Linked DNA regions of Oryctolagus cuniculus. The protein of the gene in region 3 interacts with the protein of the main gene of each other region in a pairwise test. Links are inferred from orthologs where the notes say so. Each region holds a gene or a part of one and is shown on either strand. Other genes may lie near its edges.

Evidence for each region. The genes of interacting proteins can lie anywhere in the genome.
Region 1: the proteins of HNRNPUL1 (region 3) and PRPF40A interact in a two-hybrid assay, tested with the Homo sapiens proteins (2 studies listed by BioGRID and IntAct). The link is inferred for Oryctolagus cuniculus from reciprocal best matches to the Homo sapiens genes HNRNPUL1 and PRPF40A.
Region 2: the proteins of HNRNPUL1 (region 3) and heterogeneous nuclear ribonucleoprotein F interact in a two-hybrid assay, tested with the Homo sapiens proteins (3 studies listed by BioGRID and IntAct). The link is inferred for Oryctolagus cuniculus from reciprocal best matches to the Homo sapiens genes HNRNPUL1 and HNRNPF.

What each region holds. Positions count from the first base shown.
Region 1 is NC_091434.1:89,170,885-89,176,156, reverse strand, and holds the start of PRPF40A (pre-mRNA-processing factor 40 homolog A), read right to left. Parts: upstream 3,364-5,272; 5' UTR 3,156-3,363; coding exon 2,946-3,155; intron 1,908-2,945; coding exon 1,776-1,907; intron 397-1,775; exon of another isoform or gene 365-396; coding exon of another isoform or gene 317-364; intron 1-316. Other genes in the region: ARL6IP6 (ADP-ribosylation factor-like protein 6-interacting protein 6), read left to right, coding at 4,295-4,694.
Region 2 is NC_091446.1:59,592,388-59,597,687, forward strand, and holds heterogeneous nuclear ribonucleoprotein F, read right to left. Parts: upstream 3,364-5,300; 5' UTR 2,195-3,363; coding exon 947-2,194; 3' UTR 315-946; downstream 1-314. Other genes in the region: CTNNA3 (catenin alpha-3), read right to left, coding at 5,014-5,180.
Region 3 is NC_091449.1:13,337,157-13,341,936, forward strand, and holds part of HNRNPUL1 (heterogeneous nuclear ribonucleoprotein U-like protein 1), read right to left. Parts: intron 4,405-4,780; coding exon 4,248-4,404; intron 1,656-4,247; coding exon 1,582-1,655; intron 10-1,581; coding exon 1-9.

The DNA of each region.
Region 1 (5,272 bases), on a different chromosome or scaffold from region 3:
TATTTAAAGTCACATGGCATATATTGACCTAGGAAAAAAGTAGAAGAAACTACAAGGCAAAATTCTGAGTATCTGAATGGATGTGTACGAAGTATCAAGTAAAACCTATAAGGAAGATGGTCATTGATACAGCTAGAGATAGGGCCATAAAGCAAACTGTGACCAGCTTATGTCAATGAGATACACAAAAGTACTTTTAAAAAACAAAATTTGCATTTTACTAGAACCTGGAAAATGCTAGCTTGTGTTTTGGTTTTGGTACTGCAACAGCACCATTACAGCAAGGGTAAGCAGGTCAATCCCTTGCAAAACTTACCTTGACTGGCCCAATGGAAACAGAAGGCCCCAGAAAAGAGAGAAGCATCTGGCAGTAGCAAATTGTTTTATTTTATCTTTCTGTGGAAAGAAACTAATTTTAAATAAGAACCAGAGCATTTAAAGAATAAAATATTTTTTAAAGCTCATTATCTAGTTAGAGCAGCTCTACCAAGAAAACAAGAAGAGCTCTTTGCTGCTTAGAGATGGAAAGAAACAGAAGAGGAATCAGAGTTGTTTCTGCATCACCTAGGGAGTGTTAAAACCTGTGTTATTCTAGAGTAACAGAATAAAAGAGTCTTATTTAAAGAACTCCTGCTGGCAGAATCTTTTGGATCTGGTGCCTATGAATAAAGATTTTTACACAAAATTTAGGGCTATATTCCAAATAAAAAAGAAGAAAACCACTTGATATTGAGCCCTTCTCCTTGTAAGGTTAAGTAAAAAGAGAGAGACACATAACATGCTCCTTTTTTCACTGCAGTTTCACCAATAACTCTAACCATCAAGGCTTAAATACTTACATATCAAATAATACTAATCAACAAAAGATCATACCTACTGGCTTTCCAAAATACTCTTGTTAGCCTAAGCTGTTGCTGATTTACTGAGATACTCAAATAGAAATGACCCAACAACCTAAAGAGTGTGTATTAAAGAACCTAATAACATAAAGCACAAAATTATTCATGGTAACTAAACCTGTTACCTTTATTGGATGCTTCTCTAGAAACTTAGTTCTACTAAATCAAGCTAACTAACTTAGGTCTACGGATGCTGCTGAGTCAGCATAAACCTTTTGCTCTAAATCACTCCTACAAAACAATCCATTTACAATTTATGTTAGAGATGGAAGGGACAGCTCAAAAGTAGGAGTGCAGAAGCAAAAAGCATTTTTTTAAAAACCAAAAACAGTATAAGTTGAAAACGAACTACCTGACACTGCTCTATGAAGAATCAGAATTACAGAGCAAATTTCCCAACCCTCCCTCACCACCCCACAACAGACAAAGGAGAAGATATTAAGCAGTAAAATTCATTCCAAGTCAAAGGCCTAAACAATCGCTATTTTCAGAGTCTATACACTTACATAGTCCATTGAAATAAGTTATGTTGACATTTCATACAATATTTACTCTTAAAAAGTTAACTCCAATTGACATGCTCAAGAGAGAAAAGGACATTAAATAAAAAGCCTAGATACACAGTTACTTAGGAAAAAAAACTCTTAAATTTTGTTGAGGTAGTAATTTTTTGATACAGAATACTTTTTCATTACATTCAAAATTTGATTACAGTCTTGATGCAACATTTTTATCTGAAAACTTTATCTGGGCATAAATTAATCCTCAACCAGCTACAAGTACGGCACTGATTTAAAATTCTAAAATGTCGACACAATACCTGAGGCAAAAAAGCACCAACAAATAGGAAACAAAACAAAAACATAACGTTCTTACTTGTCCCATTGGTGGCCCTCCCATAGGGGGCATCATTTGTGGCATCATTCCATGAGGTACAGGAGGCATATTTGCTCTCTGACCCATAGGGTGCATTCCCATTGGGGCATAATGCATGCCAGGGTGCCCCATCTGAAAAATAATGAGCATTTGAAAATTACCAAGTTAATAAGCATCTCAGCAATCTCATTTCAAGAAATCTCTTACCTGTAGTGGCCTATATTAGGCTACTGTGGGATGCATGACTGTAGTATAATGAACTTGCACATTCCATAACAATGTGGAAAAGGTGAAAAATGATCCTGGAGGGTTGAATCAGCTTGGTCCCCCCACCCCCCTTCACTAAGCACTGATTCAATCATCTACCGAATTGCTTGCTGGTTTTGGAAAATACATATTCAATGCTTACTTAGAAAGTTATGGTCAAAAAAATCACATCTTTATCCTGTTTTACATAGATATAAAAAAAAAAAGCCAGCTGTCATTTTACAATGCCACTAATTTGACACTTCAAAGACTTTGAATTTGTCAAATTCACTTCGAGGCAAACCTGTCTTAACAGAATGCACAGGATGGGTTGTCAGAGCCACTTCATGCCTAACATACTATTTCCTAACCTAAGCTTCAGCACAGGTAAAAGTTCCTCTCCCGAAAACACATCTCCGAAAACTTAAGTTTCTGTCACTCACAGACACTAAATGCAAACAACCAAGTCAACTATTTCACTGCGCATTTAACGCACTACTTTCTTCCTATGTGTCCATTGTTCCTGGCTTTTAAACCAGGGAATTCTCCCCAGCCAATTATCCCAGAGACCCCCTCCTCCCGCCGCAGACCACCACCACTACGCGTGCAAACAAATCAGCTTCTTGCAGTCTTAGCGACATCAAGCCTCTGCTAAACCAGGCCTTCGGCTCCGAGACGCTCGCCCCGCCCAAGGCCTGCCAGCACCTTCACCGCGCATCTGTCTAGGCCAAGCCCACTGGGAACTTCAAAGGTCCCACATACTTCTCTTTGTGCAGCCCTGCCCTGCGTCTCTCTCCCTCGGGACATAGCCCACCATCTGGAGTTCTTCCTTCGTCCACTCCACTCTTCTCCTTTCGGAGTACGCTTCCTGTCTGCCTCCGTTTTTCATTGTGCCGCTTTCCCCCTACACCACCGATCCCTTACCGAGGGCCGTCTCCTCAGGAAGCCGTCAGCGGAAACCCAAGAGCTGGAGCAGAGGTTGGAGCCGGACAATCTCGGCTCCCCGTCCCCAGGACCCCGCGAGGGAGGTTGGTTCTCCATTTCACTCACCATGAGGCCTCCACGCTCGGCTCCCGTCCCCGGCCTCATCGTCGGGCTCAGACTGCTCGGCCGGCGGCCACTGCCGCTACACATACCAACAAGAAGCGATCTGAGTGGCTGGCGCCCGCTGGGGCCAAAGGTTAAAGGATGCCCTGAGCTATGGGGCGGGCTCAGCGGGGCCAATAAAATGACAGGCTTCTCCGCTGTCCAATCGCAGTGCGCCGCCGACTCGCACTTCTGCGGCGATTGGCTCTGAGCCTCAGCCTCACTCGGCGTCCCGTGCACGGGAAGGGGGGGAAGAGGAGGGACAAGAGGAAGTTTCCGCGTCGAGTCCTTTGACTGGAAAACTCTACCAACTTCCTTTCGGCGGAGGAAGACTACCGTGCCCTATCTTCCCTGAGCTCCAAAAGCCTCACTGCGTAGGGGTGGGGTATTGGGGCCCGCCGCCTTCACCATCTCCCCCGCCCGAGTTACGTACGCGCCACAAACCTGCGGCCGCCCCCAAGAGGGTAGGGTGGGGTGGGGTGGAGTGGGGTGGGGGCGGGGTAAGCAGCTTCCAGCGTTAGCGGTAGCTGGGGCAGGATGCGCGCCAGTGCGCGCGCTGTGTGGGAGGCGAAGGGGCGGGGAGGGACGGGCTAGCGAAGAGGCGTCCAGAGCAAGGGAGCTCTGCCTGCAGCGGCGCAGAGCGCGCCGAGTCGCTGGGAGGGAAGTTGTGGGTGGGGAGAAACACGCCGAGAGCGGGATGGACTCCCGAGGCAAAGCGACGGGTTAGGAGGAGCAGACTGGGGAGCAGTGTGAGCGTAGAGGGGGAAAAGCACGCAGGCTCTTGAATGTGTATCGGAAGGGCCTGGGCGAGCTTTAGGACCCGGTGTTGACTGTGGGGCTGCTGGGGCACGCGCTTGCCTGGGTGGCGACGCGCCGGTGGCCGGGACTAAGCACGCTGGGGAGAGGCAACTCGGCTATTTGGGGCCTCGGCTTGCCTGTCCCTGCACGCTTCCCTGCGCCCGCTCTCGCCTGCTGTCCCGGAATCGGCCCGCGGCCGCGAGGCGCCCAGCCTCTCCGGCGAGCCCTCTGCTCCCTCTCGGCGCCGCCGCCCACCCTCTCGCACCCCTGCGCGCCTGGCCGGGTGGTGGAGGCCGCAGCGGGGCCCTGCCGCTGATTGGCTGTTGCGGTCGCGGGGCGGGGCCAGTGAGAGACGTTGGACCTCGGCGGTTCTCGCCGTCTTTCCCGCCATGTCTTTTGTGGAGAGCGGGAGGCGTTCTGCGCCGCGCCGCCGCCGCCTCGGCACGCCGGTGCCCTTCGCGGCGCCGCAGTACTCCGCCTTCTCTCAGGGGGACAGCTGGGGTGTGGGCGAAGTCGACGACGAGGAGGGATGCACCCAAGTGGCCCGCGACTTGCGGGCAGAGTTCTCGGCTGGGCCGTCGTCGGAGTCCAGGAGAGGTTCTCTGTTCCCGCCAGATGGAGATGGGTCGCCGGTGCTGCCGGAGAAGCGCAACGGCATCTTCCCGGCTGCTGCGGGAAGCCGAACCTCGGCTCGGCAGTGGCCGGTTCAGGTCCTTTCTATTCTGTGTGCGCTGCTGTTCGCCATCCTCCTCGCCTTTCTGCTCGCCATCGTCTACCTGGTCGTAAAAGGTATCGCAGCCCGGGCCGAAGAGTCTGCCCAGAGTTCAGATGGGCCCGGGTGTGGCTCTCGCTTCCGTCCAGCCCTCAGCCCCCGCCGTCCCCAGAGCAGGCAGGCAGGCAGGCAGGCAGCCGCGTTCCCCCAGAGCCCTGTCTGTACCTTTCTGTACCCGTTCCTCTTTGTCCTCGCTGCCTGGGCGGAGGTCCCTGGTCTGCGATCGGGGGACCCATTTTAAGAAGAGGTCTCTCAATTAAATGACTTGGAAAGAAGTATCCAGGTCGTTGAACAAGTGAGGCAAAACACTGGCACAGTTATGTAAGCGAACTGCACAACACCTCCTAGCAGACAGCAGGAAGTGCGTGTAATTAAATAGGCTATGAGTATGGAAGGGCGTTGATCCACAAATGCCTGAAGATATGTTGTCCACCAGCCCTTCGCATTACTCAATTTCTGAAGGGCAAGGATTTCCATCCCACAGCCCAAAGGTCGACTTTTGGAGGTGAAATAGTCTCAGCTTTTTTCCAAGATCAAGTTTGTAACCAGGTGTAGCATGCAAAGTTCTGCGTGAGGTACAGGCTATTCTTTCTGT
Region 2 (5,300 bases), on a different chromosome or scaffold from region 3:
ATCCATGTTGGTTTGAATCTGCATAACCTGTGGATATGAAAGGCCATTGTATATGTTAATGTTTCCTAAGGGTGAAATCATTTTGAGAAATCAAAATTCACCACAAAAGTTCTTCCATTCTCTTTAATAAGATTCCACTTCCTTTTTCATAGATGAAGTATCATTGTTGTGGTATACAAGCTAATAAACAACTTAAATCATCTACCCTCAATATAGGCTCTGTTAAGGCACCAACAAGTCTCTCTCTCTCTCTCTCTCTCTCTCTCTCTCTCTCTCTCTCTCCCATGTCACTCTGCCTTTCAAATAAATAAATCTTTTTTTGTGTGTGTGAAAAAGTCTTTATTTTAAGAAAAAAATTTAGTTAACAAAAAATTTATCAAGTTTCACTTAGCAAAATACACCCCAAAGGAAATCACAGTACAAAGAAAGTTTTAAGTCAAGGCCTCACCAATTCCTACAGTATTAGTATTGTGTCTCAATTCTCAAAACTAACTTTTAAAAAGCTTAAACTTAACCTAAAAGATTTAAATGAAAATAGAAACTAGAATGAACAAACATGAGAAATGTTTCTCTTTGAATTAGGGATCTAGCACCTTTGAGTTTTCCAAAAAAGTACATCTCCCCAAGGTGTTCACTGTGGTGTGGTGTAAAAGATCCACAATTTAACATACTTAAACTACTTTAACTCAGATAACATCACTCGGAAGGATACTACTAAAATGTTAATCGAGAAAAGCGGAAAATAGTTTTAGTTTACTCAATATCACATGCTAGAAGAAAAGTTTGCATGAGAAAACATTGAAGAGGTAATTTTTTAATCCAGATTTCACAAACTCATGGTGCAAAATGGGTCCCACAGCTTCCTCTAGGGTAATAACTGCTTTTTCACTGCTTGCTGGCTGCCTCTGAAAATTTGATTGAAATTAACTCAAATGCTTCTACAAAACTAATCATATCCACCCATGCTGTTCTGACCACTATAGCCAGCGCCATAACAACCGCTCACTGACTGGCTCTCCAGGCCACTGTAGGTGGCCTGAGCCGCAGACACCCCCATGCCCTGCATCACCTGGCTGCTGTAGGCCCCGTTGCTGGCCCCTGTGGTGGAATTCAAGAAGAGTTCTATGTATCTGTGCTGCATATTGGCCCTATCTTTCGACATCGCTGCCCCAGCTTCTTCATGGGTGGCAAACTCCACATCAGCTTCGCCCGTCACTCTTCCATCTGGGCCGATCTCAATATGCACTCTCACCGCGTTAAGTGGAGAGAAGAAGTTGTAGATGTCGTTCTCGGTCGCTTTGTATGGCAGCCCTCTCATGTGGACGCAGTGGCCGGTGGTGCTCTGCACTGCGAACTCGCTGTCTCCGTATCTGTGGTCGTACATTCCTGAGAGGCAGTAGCTGAGGTCTCTTCCGAACAGATCAGTGGTGAAGCCGTAGCCATCGCTGAGGCCACTGTACTCCTCATAGCCCCCGTAGCCAGCGCTGCAGGCACCAGGCCGCATTCTCTCCAAGCCTGCCTGCTTCACAATGCCAATATACCTCCGGGCTGTGCCAGGCCTGTCATAGGGCCCGGGTCGCTGAACAGACATGAACTTCAGAGGAGGATCTGAGTATGACCTCACTTCTTCCTGACTGCTCTTAAATACCTCAATATATCTGTGCCCTATTCTCTCCTTGTGCTTCCCTAGCGCCTTCTCTGCTAGCTCCTGAGAGGCAAACTGCACGAAGGCCTCCCCTGTAATCTTGCCCTCGGGGTCCACAGGCAAAGTGATCCCGTTTGGCACGATTTCCAACCCTGAGAAAAACTGAACAATTTCTTCCTTTGTGCATCCAAACGGGAGTCCTCGAAGCCGCACGAAACCATCATTAGCGGTGTCAGCGCTGTTTGGACCACTGTGCTTCAACACCCAATCCATCTCGGTTCTGTGAGACTTGAACACCTCAATGTACCAGTGCCCCATGCTTTCCCTGTCTTTTTTCAGGGCCATTTTGACATCATCTTCTGATTCAAGTTCGACAAATGCCTCACCACTCTGCCTGCCTTCTCTAGTGTAGATAAAATGAACGCCTGCGGCCCCATCATGAATCGTGCAGTCGGACAGGAAGTTCTGCACGTCCTCAATAGAGCAGGACCAGGGCAGGCCACGGAGCTTGACCACAAAGCCTTCACCTCCCTCGGGACCCAGCATCATGGACACTTGACAGGATAGATGTCAGACAAACTTGGGTGCAAGTTGTCTTTTTATGGCTTAGAGTATCGCCAAGGATACCTTCAGTAGGAGACACCTCTGGTAGGTAACCAACTGTCCACTGAGGAGAGCTGGCCTGGTTTCTATTTGCAAGAGCGGCTTCCAGCGAAGGACCCCAGATCCCACCCGAGCTTAGACGCGCAGAGGGCTCCAGGCAAACTCCAGGTGCATCTTTTTGTTCTTAACCTTCTTCAGGAAGACGCGGCGCAATCCTGCTTCCACGACGGAATAAATCATTTTTAAAAATGAAAGATGTTGACACACTCAACTTCATTTATTAACCTGTTATAAGCCTATGAACTCATCTACACATTTTTTTTTTTTTTTTGACAGGCAGAGTGGATAGTGAGAGAGAGAGACAGAGAGAAAGGTCTTCCTTTGCCGTTGGTTCACCCTCCAATGGCCGCCGCGGCTGGCGCGCTGCGGCCAGCGCACCACGCTGATCCGATGGCAGGAGCCAGGAGCCAGTGCTTTTCCTGGTCTCCCATGGGGTGCAGGGCCCAAGCACTTGGGCCATCCTCCACTGCACTCCCTGGCCACAGCAGAGAGCTGGCCTGGAAGAGGGGCAACCGGGACAGAATCCGGCGCCCCGCCCGGGACTAGAACCTGGTGTGCCAGCGCCGCCAGGCGGAGGATTAGCCTAGTGAGCCGCGGTGCCGGCTCATCTACACATTTCTGAAAGCTATTTATAGTTAAAGCTATTCTAACTTTTATAGTACTAAGTTCCAAAAGTGTTATTTTTCTCTTGTTGTCTTGAGCAAGTTATTTAAATTTAATGGGCCACAGTTTCCTCCTCTGTAAGATAGGAATCATAATCATAATGCTATAATGAGGACTGAATTAAAGGAGATACACCAAAACAGTACTTGGCACATTGTAAAATATTCAATAAAGGTTAACTATAATTTTTATTGCAGCAGGTAGAACTCTGCATTTATTTGATCTGCAAATATCCCCCTGCTTCATTTGAACAACGTGATGTGTGTGAATTGCCTACTGTCGCTCCCCGTCTTCGTGGAGGAACGACACAGGACCCTGCGCTGTTCTTTCGTCTGCTCGGCCCTCCCCGGGTTTGCTGCTGGTTCTTCCCGGGTTGGCTACCGACCCTTCCACCTCCGTGGAAGGGCGGTTCCCCCTGCCACTTTCCCCACTTCAGCGGGGGAGCGGCACACCGCCGGCCGGCCGGCTCTCTCGGGGGCTGCTCAGGTGTTCCTTCAGATAGATGTTCCTGGTGCATGTTGTCTCTCTCCTCCTTTATAGTCCTCTTCCACCAATCCCAACTCTGCTACCCACACGCCGAGTACGCTGCTCTCCTCCAATCAGGAGCAGGTCCTACAGTTTATTGGTTGAACTGGAGGCAGCTGTGTAGAAGCTGTTTCCCTTCTCAGCGCCATATTGTGGGAGAGCAGATGCATAGAATAAGTCTTAATTCCAGTAACTTAGTCTAGTCCGAGTTGCTCCCAGTTGCTCCCCACACCTACCACTGTGCCTAACTCAGAGGGCATTAAATTAAAATGGTATTTAATAAGCTGGTTATGTTCTTTATATATATATATATAGTTACCTCCTGATTACGTAGGTATCCATTTCACCTTACAAAAGCCATTCATTTGGTCCTATCTCAACAAGTCAAGTCTGAAACAGGACCTTTCATACTCATTTCTGGTCTACAGAATTAACTAGTGTCTGTATCACGTGTGATAAAAATGATCTCATAAAAGTTCAGAAATTTTTCTAAGGTTATTCACCAAATAACTAAGTCACAAGAGTTAAAAAGTATTGAATTATTTTTATAGTAGTAAAATGATAAAAAGATGAAAGTACAATGGAAGGCCTACTCTAAATGTTAAAGTAAGTGATAGTGATTATGAGTGAAATGCAAAGAAAGGCTTAGCTCAGCAAGTAGAATAAATTATTTTGACAAGCAGGTCAATCAAATAAGGTCATCAGTTGTCAAATGGCGTACTATAATCATCAGGTACCTTTATGAAAACAGATGTATTTATAGACAAAAATTAAGGTCCTTTTTAAAGCAAGAAATACAAGAGATTTCAAGAATTTGCAACCTTTTCATCTGGACACTATTAATGACTTCATCAAACTAAACAAATACAGAAAGTTTAATAAAAAGATGTTAATGAAATTTTCTACTAAAACTATGATATGGACTTGTTTGGTAAAATAAAGCAAGCTGCATATATTGCTATTTTTGTATCCTCCTAGTTGAAATATATTATTCACTCATTTAAACCTATGTATACATTTTCATAATAGATCACCCTAGACATCACAACTGAACCATAAACATTCACTATTTATCCTGGATCACAAGGAGCTGGCAAAGTAGCATTCATTTACAAACTAAGGTAAACTTCGAAACATTGTAAGCTTGAAGATTTCTTACACAAATTATTTATAAGTATATATTTATCATATAGTATCCATATAATTATGCTATGTTTTATTCATATGTATATGGGGCACAATAATTTAAATGGTCAAAAGCTTGTAAGTTTCTCCTAGTCACTTTGTTATCAGTAAGCCATCTTCTGTTACTCAGTTTTCCAGCGGCTCTAAGACTCACTTCTGGCTTCATTCTTTGAAGTATACATTAGTCTTCACAACCCAATTTGGCCAGCTTCTGATGAGTGATATTAAAAGATGAGGATGAGGCCAAGATGCAGCAGGATTGATGCCAGGCTCAGAGAATGGAATTGGAAGCAAGAACAATGCCAAGGTAAACTAAGTCATCTTTTACTTACGGTGGACACGTGTTGCAGAAGACACATGACATCAATCATGTCCGCAAGGATAAGGAGTCGAGTTACTGCAGCCAACAAGGCACGTGCAGCTTGAACAACAGCCTCCCTTTTTGGGAGATGACAGGGGTCATCTGTGAATTGCTCAGCTGATACCTTCAAAGCTTTACCTGAAAAATAAAACCCCAAATAAGCTATACTTTAAGTTTCAACTATGCTTATTTCAGCATTCATTAGCCATTCTAATTCCAAGTGTATTCCATGACTAAGCATAATTTTAAAATATTATC
Region 3 (4,780 bases):
CGCAGTTATCTGTGGAGGAAAAAAGTCCGCAGCTGACTGATGTTTTAAAGGTCCCAAGAATCAAGCTCCCCATGAGTGTTAACCAGGAAAACACAAGGTAACACATTGTGGGGCCACATCCAAGAGGAACCAGTACACCCCCTAACCATTCTCTCTTTGAAGAAAAAGGGTTTTGGCTACTGCAATGGCTTACGTTACTCCATATAAAAACTGAGTCTTGTTTAATTTTGTTTTTACTCCCCAGTTGGCCTTAACAGTCAGGTCTGGGCCAGGCAGAAGCCAGGAGCCAGGAACACATGGGTGACAAGGACCCAAGCAGTTAGGCATCATCCACGGCCTTCCCAGGCACATCAGCAGGAAGCCAGATTTGGAAGCAGAGCAGCTGAGACTTGAGGCAGCACTCCGATACTGGCATTGCAAGCTGTGGCTTAACACACTGGATCAGAATGCGAGCCCCAGGAACTGCGCTCTTGACCATGCAGGCAGGGCCCAAGGATATGCAAATGCCTCCGGTGGGAACTGTGTACAGAACAGCTAAACCCCAATGCCACAGATTTCAAACACTTCCCCATGTCAGCTCTATCAGCTTGGGAGCCAGACTTCTGTTATCAACGGCTGTAAAACAATCCGATCCTGGATCCACACCTGCCACCTAGCAAATCTGGGCGCACCACAGGCTCCTCCTGCTCCTGTGGGCCCAGGACACCACTCCTACACCTCTGACTCCTCCCCCTCTCCAAGGAAGCCTTTTTTAAGTCTGATCACTTAGCGTCTGACCAGATGCTGCCTCGGGGACAACTGCCACCCAATACTTTCAAAAGAGTTTAGCTTCACCTCAGGTAGGTTTTGTCTTTGACAACGTGTGACAGAAGAGACTGCATGTGAGATGTCTTCACCCCTCACCAAAGCCCATAGCCCCTGCTCTATAAAGACGTGCTACGTAAAGAAATGCACGCACAGGCAGCCTTTCCCTCTGTGGGGAGGCGCAATGTTCTCAGACCTGGTGGGCTTCTGGGTGCAGTCCGCTTCAGTCTATCACTCTGATCCTCAACTTGGGACATCTGAGAAGGGCCAGGACGCCCACAACCATTCCTCCACAGGTTTAGATGTGGTCAACGTGAACGCCACTCATCAGTGGAAAGAAAACTGAACCAGAGGACAGAGAGCAGGGCAGGCCAGGCGGGTTAGTGCCTCAGCAGACCAAGTGACGCTGGCTTCACCAGGACACGAGCAGCTGGAGGAAATGGGGCAGCGGCTGTCAGAGGGCTGAGTCTCCCCAGCAGCACTGATTCCTCTCCTGCTGAGATGAGCCCCCTTCCAGGTGCAGGCTCCGAGAAACCTGAGAACCCACGGAGGCCGCAAGGCGGGCACTCCTCTTCGGAGAGGAGCTTGGAAGCAGAACGAGCTGCCCAGGGTCCCCAGCAAGAGCTGGGAGTCGGTCTCCTATCTCCCATCCCACGTCCTGAGCGATGCTGCGTCTCACAGGTGCACGATGCCAGGCAGGGGTTCTGGTAAAGGCCAAGGCACTGCTCCTGCAATGCTGCCCAGAGGTACAACCACATGGGCACCGTGAGGACTCACATGTATCGATGGCAACAAGGGTGTCATCAAAGTCGTCTTCATCCTCTTCGGCGGGAGGCTGAGGGGAGCGGCCCCTGCGTTGCAAAGTGAGGTTAATCACAAGAGAATAGTGGCAGGAACACAGAGGAGGGACAGAAAAGGCTCTGCTGGAATGTGCAGTGGCCCCAGCCTGCTTCCTCGTCTCCATTTCTTCTCTCACAGGTTGGCAATACAACTCTGGAACTCTTCCTATTAGCAATGAAAGCAATGACTGGTACTTCCGGGTGGGGCGTGCAGGGTGGGTGGACACAAGGACACAGGGCATGCTCTACTGAAGTGGGGCATCAGAATCCTTTATAGAGTTTTAATTTTTTTTTTTTTTTTTTGACAGGCAGAGTGGACAGTGAAAGAGAGAGACAGAGAGAAAGGTCTTCCTTTGCCGTTGGTTCACCCTCCAATGGCCGCCGCGGCCGGCGCGCTGCGGCCGGCGCACCGCGCTGATCTGATGGCAGGAGCCAGGAGCCAGGTGCTTTTCCTGGTCTCCCATGGGGTGCAGGGCCCAAGCACCTGGGCCATCCTCCACTGCACTCCCGGGCCACAGCAGAGAGCTGGCCTGGAAGAGGGGCAACCGGGACTAGCACCCGGTGTGCCAGTGCCGCTAGGCGGAGGATTAGCCTAGTGAGCCGCGGCGCCGGCCTAGAGTTTTAAATTTTTAAAAAAGATTTATTTATTTGAAGGCTATAGTTAAGAGAGGGAGAGGTGGAGGGATCTTCCAACCACTGGTTCACTCCTCAAATGGTCACAATAGCAAGGACTGGGCCAGGCTGCAGCCAAGAGCCTGGAACTCCATCTAGGTCTCCCATGTGGGTGGCAGGGGCCAAAACACTTGGGTCATCATCTGCTATTTTCCCAGGCACATTAGCAGGGAGCTGGGTAGGAAATGGAGCAGCTAGGACTTGAACGGGTGCTCATATGGGATGCTGGTATTGCCAGCAGTGGCTCGACATGATGTACAACACTGGCCTGGGAATGCTTTCTCAAAGACTTGTCCCGGCCGGTGCTGCGGCTCACTAGGCTAATCCTCTGCCTTGCAGCGCTGGCACACCGGGTTCTAGTCCCGGTAGGGGCACCGGATCCTGTCCCAGTTGCCCCTCTTCCAGGCCAGCTCTCTGCTGTGGCCAGGGAGTGCAGTGGAGGACGGCCCAAGTGCTTGGGCCCTGCACCCCATGGGAGACCAGGAGAAGCACCTGGCTCCTGCCTTCGAATCAGCGTGGTGCGCTGGCCGCAGTGGTCATTGGAGGGTGAACCAACGGCAAAGGGAAGACCTTTCTCTCTGTCTCTCTCTCTCTGTCCACTCTGCCTGTCCAAAAAAAAAAAAAAAAAAAAAAAAAAAGACTGGTCCCTCAGAACCAAGATTCTGATCCATGCCTTTTGCATGACAGTGGTCTCCACAATGAACTTCTTGGTATCCCTAAGGGTGCTGGCCAGGAAGGAGAATGTGCAAGATCCTAGATAAACTCCGATAATTACAGCCTGTCCACATAACAGTTTTCTTAAAACCCTACATCTAAAAGGATTTAAAGTGACCCATTTTTTTTTCCAGTCCTTTTCAAGTGTCCTAAATTATGAACAAGATTCATCTGCCTACCAAAGCACTAAAAAAGGGACTTACAATGCTGGCTTGGGCTTTACAGGAATAAGGGAGAGAGGCAGAAAGACGGGGTCTAAGGCCCAGGGCCCTGCCAGCATTGACCTAGCGCACCGTGTGCACAGACCAGGTCGTGTGGCCCCAGCTTGCGGCTCCCCTCTGCCGGAGTTCCCTTCCAGCCTGCTGACCCACAGCCAGCAGAGAGCCCGGTACACACAAGGGGCTCAGCACAGGGAAGCTTCCTCCTGGGAATCCTTTCCTGCCGGCCCCAGATCAGAATGCGCGCTCTTCCTCTGCGCCCCATCAGCAAGCAGCCTGTGCTCTGTGGGAGGCAGAGGAAGAAACCATGTGAGGAGGGCGCCACGTCCTAACTTTACCACCGTCTGTGAGACCCAGCGACGGATGGAGGGGCAGGACTGAGCCTGGAAGCGAAGGAGCGGGAGGGCTGGTCAGGAAAGGGAAAAGGCAAATGGCCAGAGTGGCCCTCTTGTGAGCTCCTGAAACTCCCCTGCAGCCTGACAAGTAACCAGTACTGGGGCTTACTGCTGAGAGTGTCTGTTCTCAGTCCCTGTCAGGAAAAAAGAACGCAGACCCCACTGTCCACATCACCTCTGTGTCCCTGGTGTCTAGCCCAGGGGTGGGTGCCACATGGAAGCACTGAGTGGGAGGATGGAAGGAGACGGCTCGCCTGGGCAAGAGATCTTTCTCTGAACCAAAGGACCCCACGCGGCTACTAGGAACAGGACACTGTGCGGGACACCGCAGGCAGTAAGGCCAAGACTCAGACGTAGCCTGGCAACTCACACCCAAATGCGAGGTGTTTGGGATTCACCCTGCAGGTAACAAGAAGTGGGAACCGGGAGAAAGATCCAAGTTCAGGAACGCTGATCCTGGGAGCAGTGCAGGAAGGACTGGGAGAAAGTGTCAGCCCAAGGAGACCTGCTCGGCTCCTCTGCCTTAGAACTAAGGTCCCCAGCGGGTATGGGGCCGCGGGCGTGGAAGCCTACGGAATACTGCGACTCGCGCCTCAGATTCTCACCTCCGATCCTCTCGGTGCTCAAAGTACCCGCGGCCCCGGTTTTCTTCGTAAGGCCTCTTGCGACTCTGGAACTGCTGTCTGTCGGGCTTGAGCTGAGGAGCTTCAGGCGGGAGGAAGCTGGTGGGTCCTTCTTGTTTCATCTCTGTCTTCCCTTCTACTGCCAGGACAAATTCACATGGTGGTCACACTTGGAAACTCCTCAGCTGCGGGAGAAACGCTGGTCCCTTTTACCCCAGGAGATACAGGTGGACTGCTGACTAGGAGTGAAGGGTGGGGCACAGGCAGCTTTGCTGGGTGCAACAGGAAGAAGCCTGCTGAGCAAGCCAAGAAGGTGAGCGCGGAGAACAGGGCCAGGACACAGGAGAGCATGTGGCCGTACAGCTGGCAGTCACACAGCTCAGGCTTCACGGGGAAGGGGGCTTCAGCACTAAATGACGACAGTCTTTTTAATTCAAAGGTGAAAAAGCTGCCTTTGGCTAACAGGCCAGAGACCCATGAAGGCTGGCAGCTCTCTTGGCCTGTGGTGATTGGAA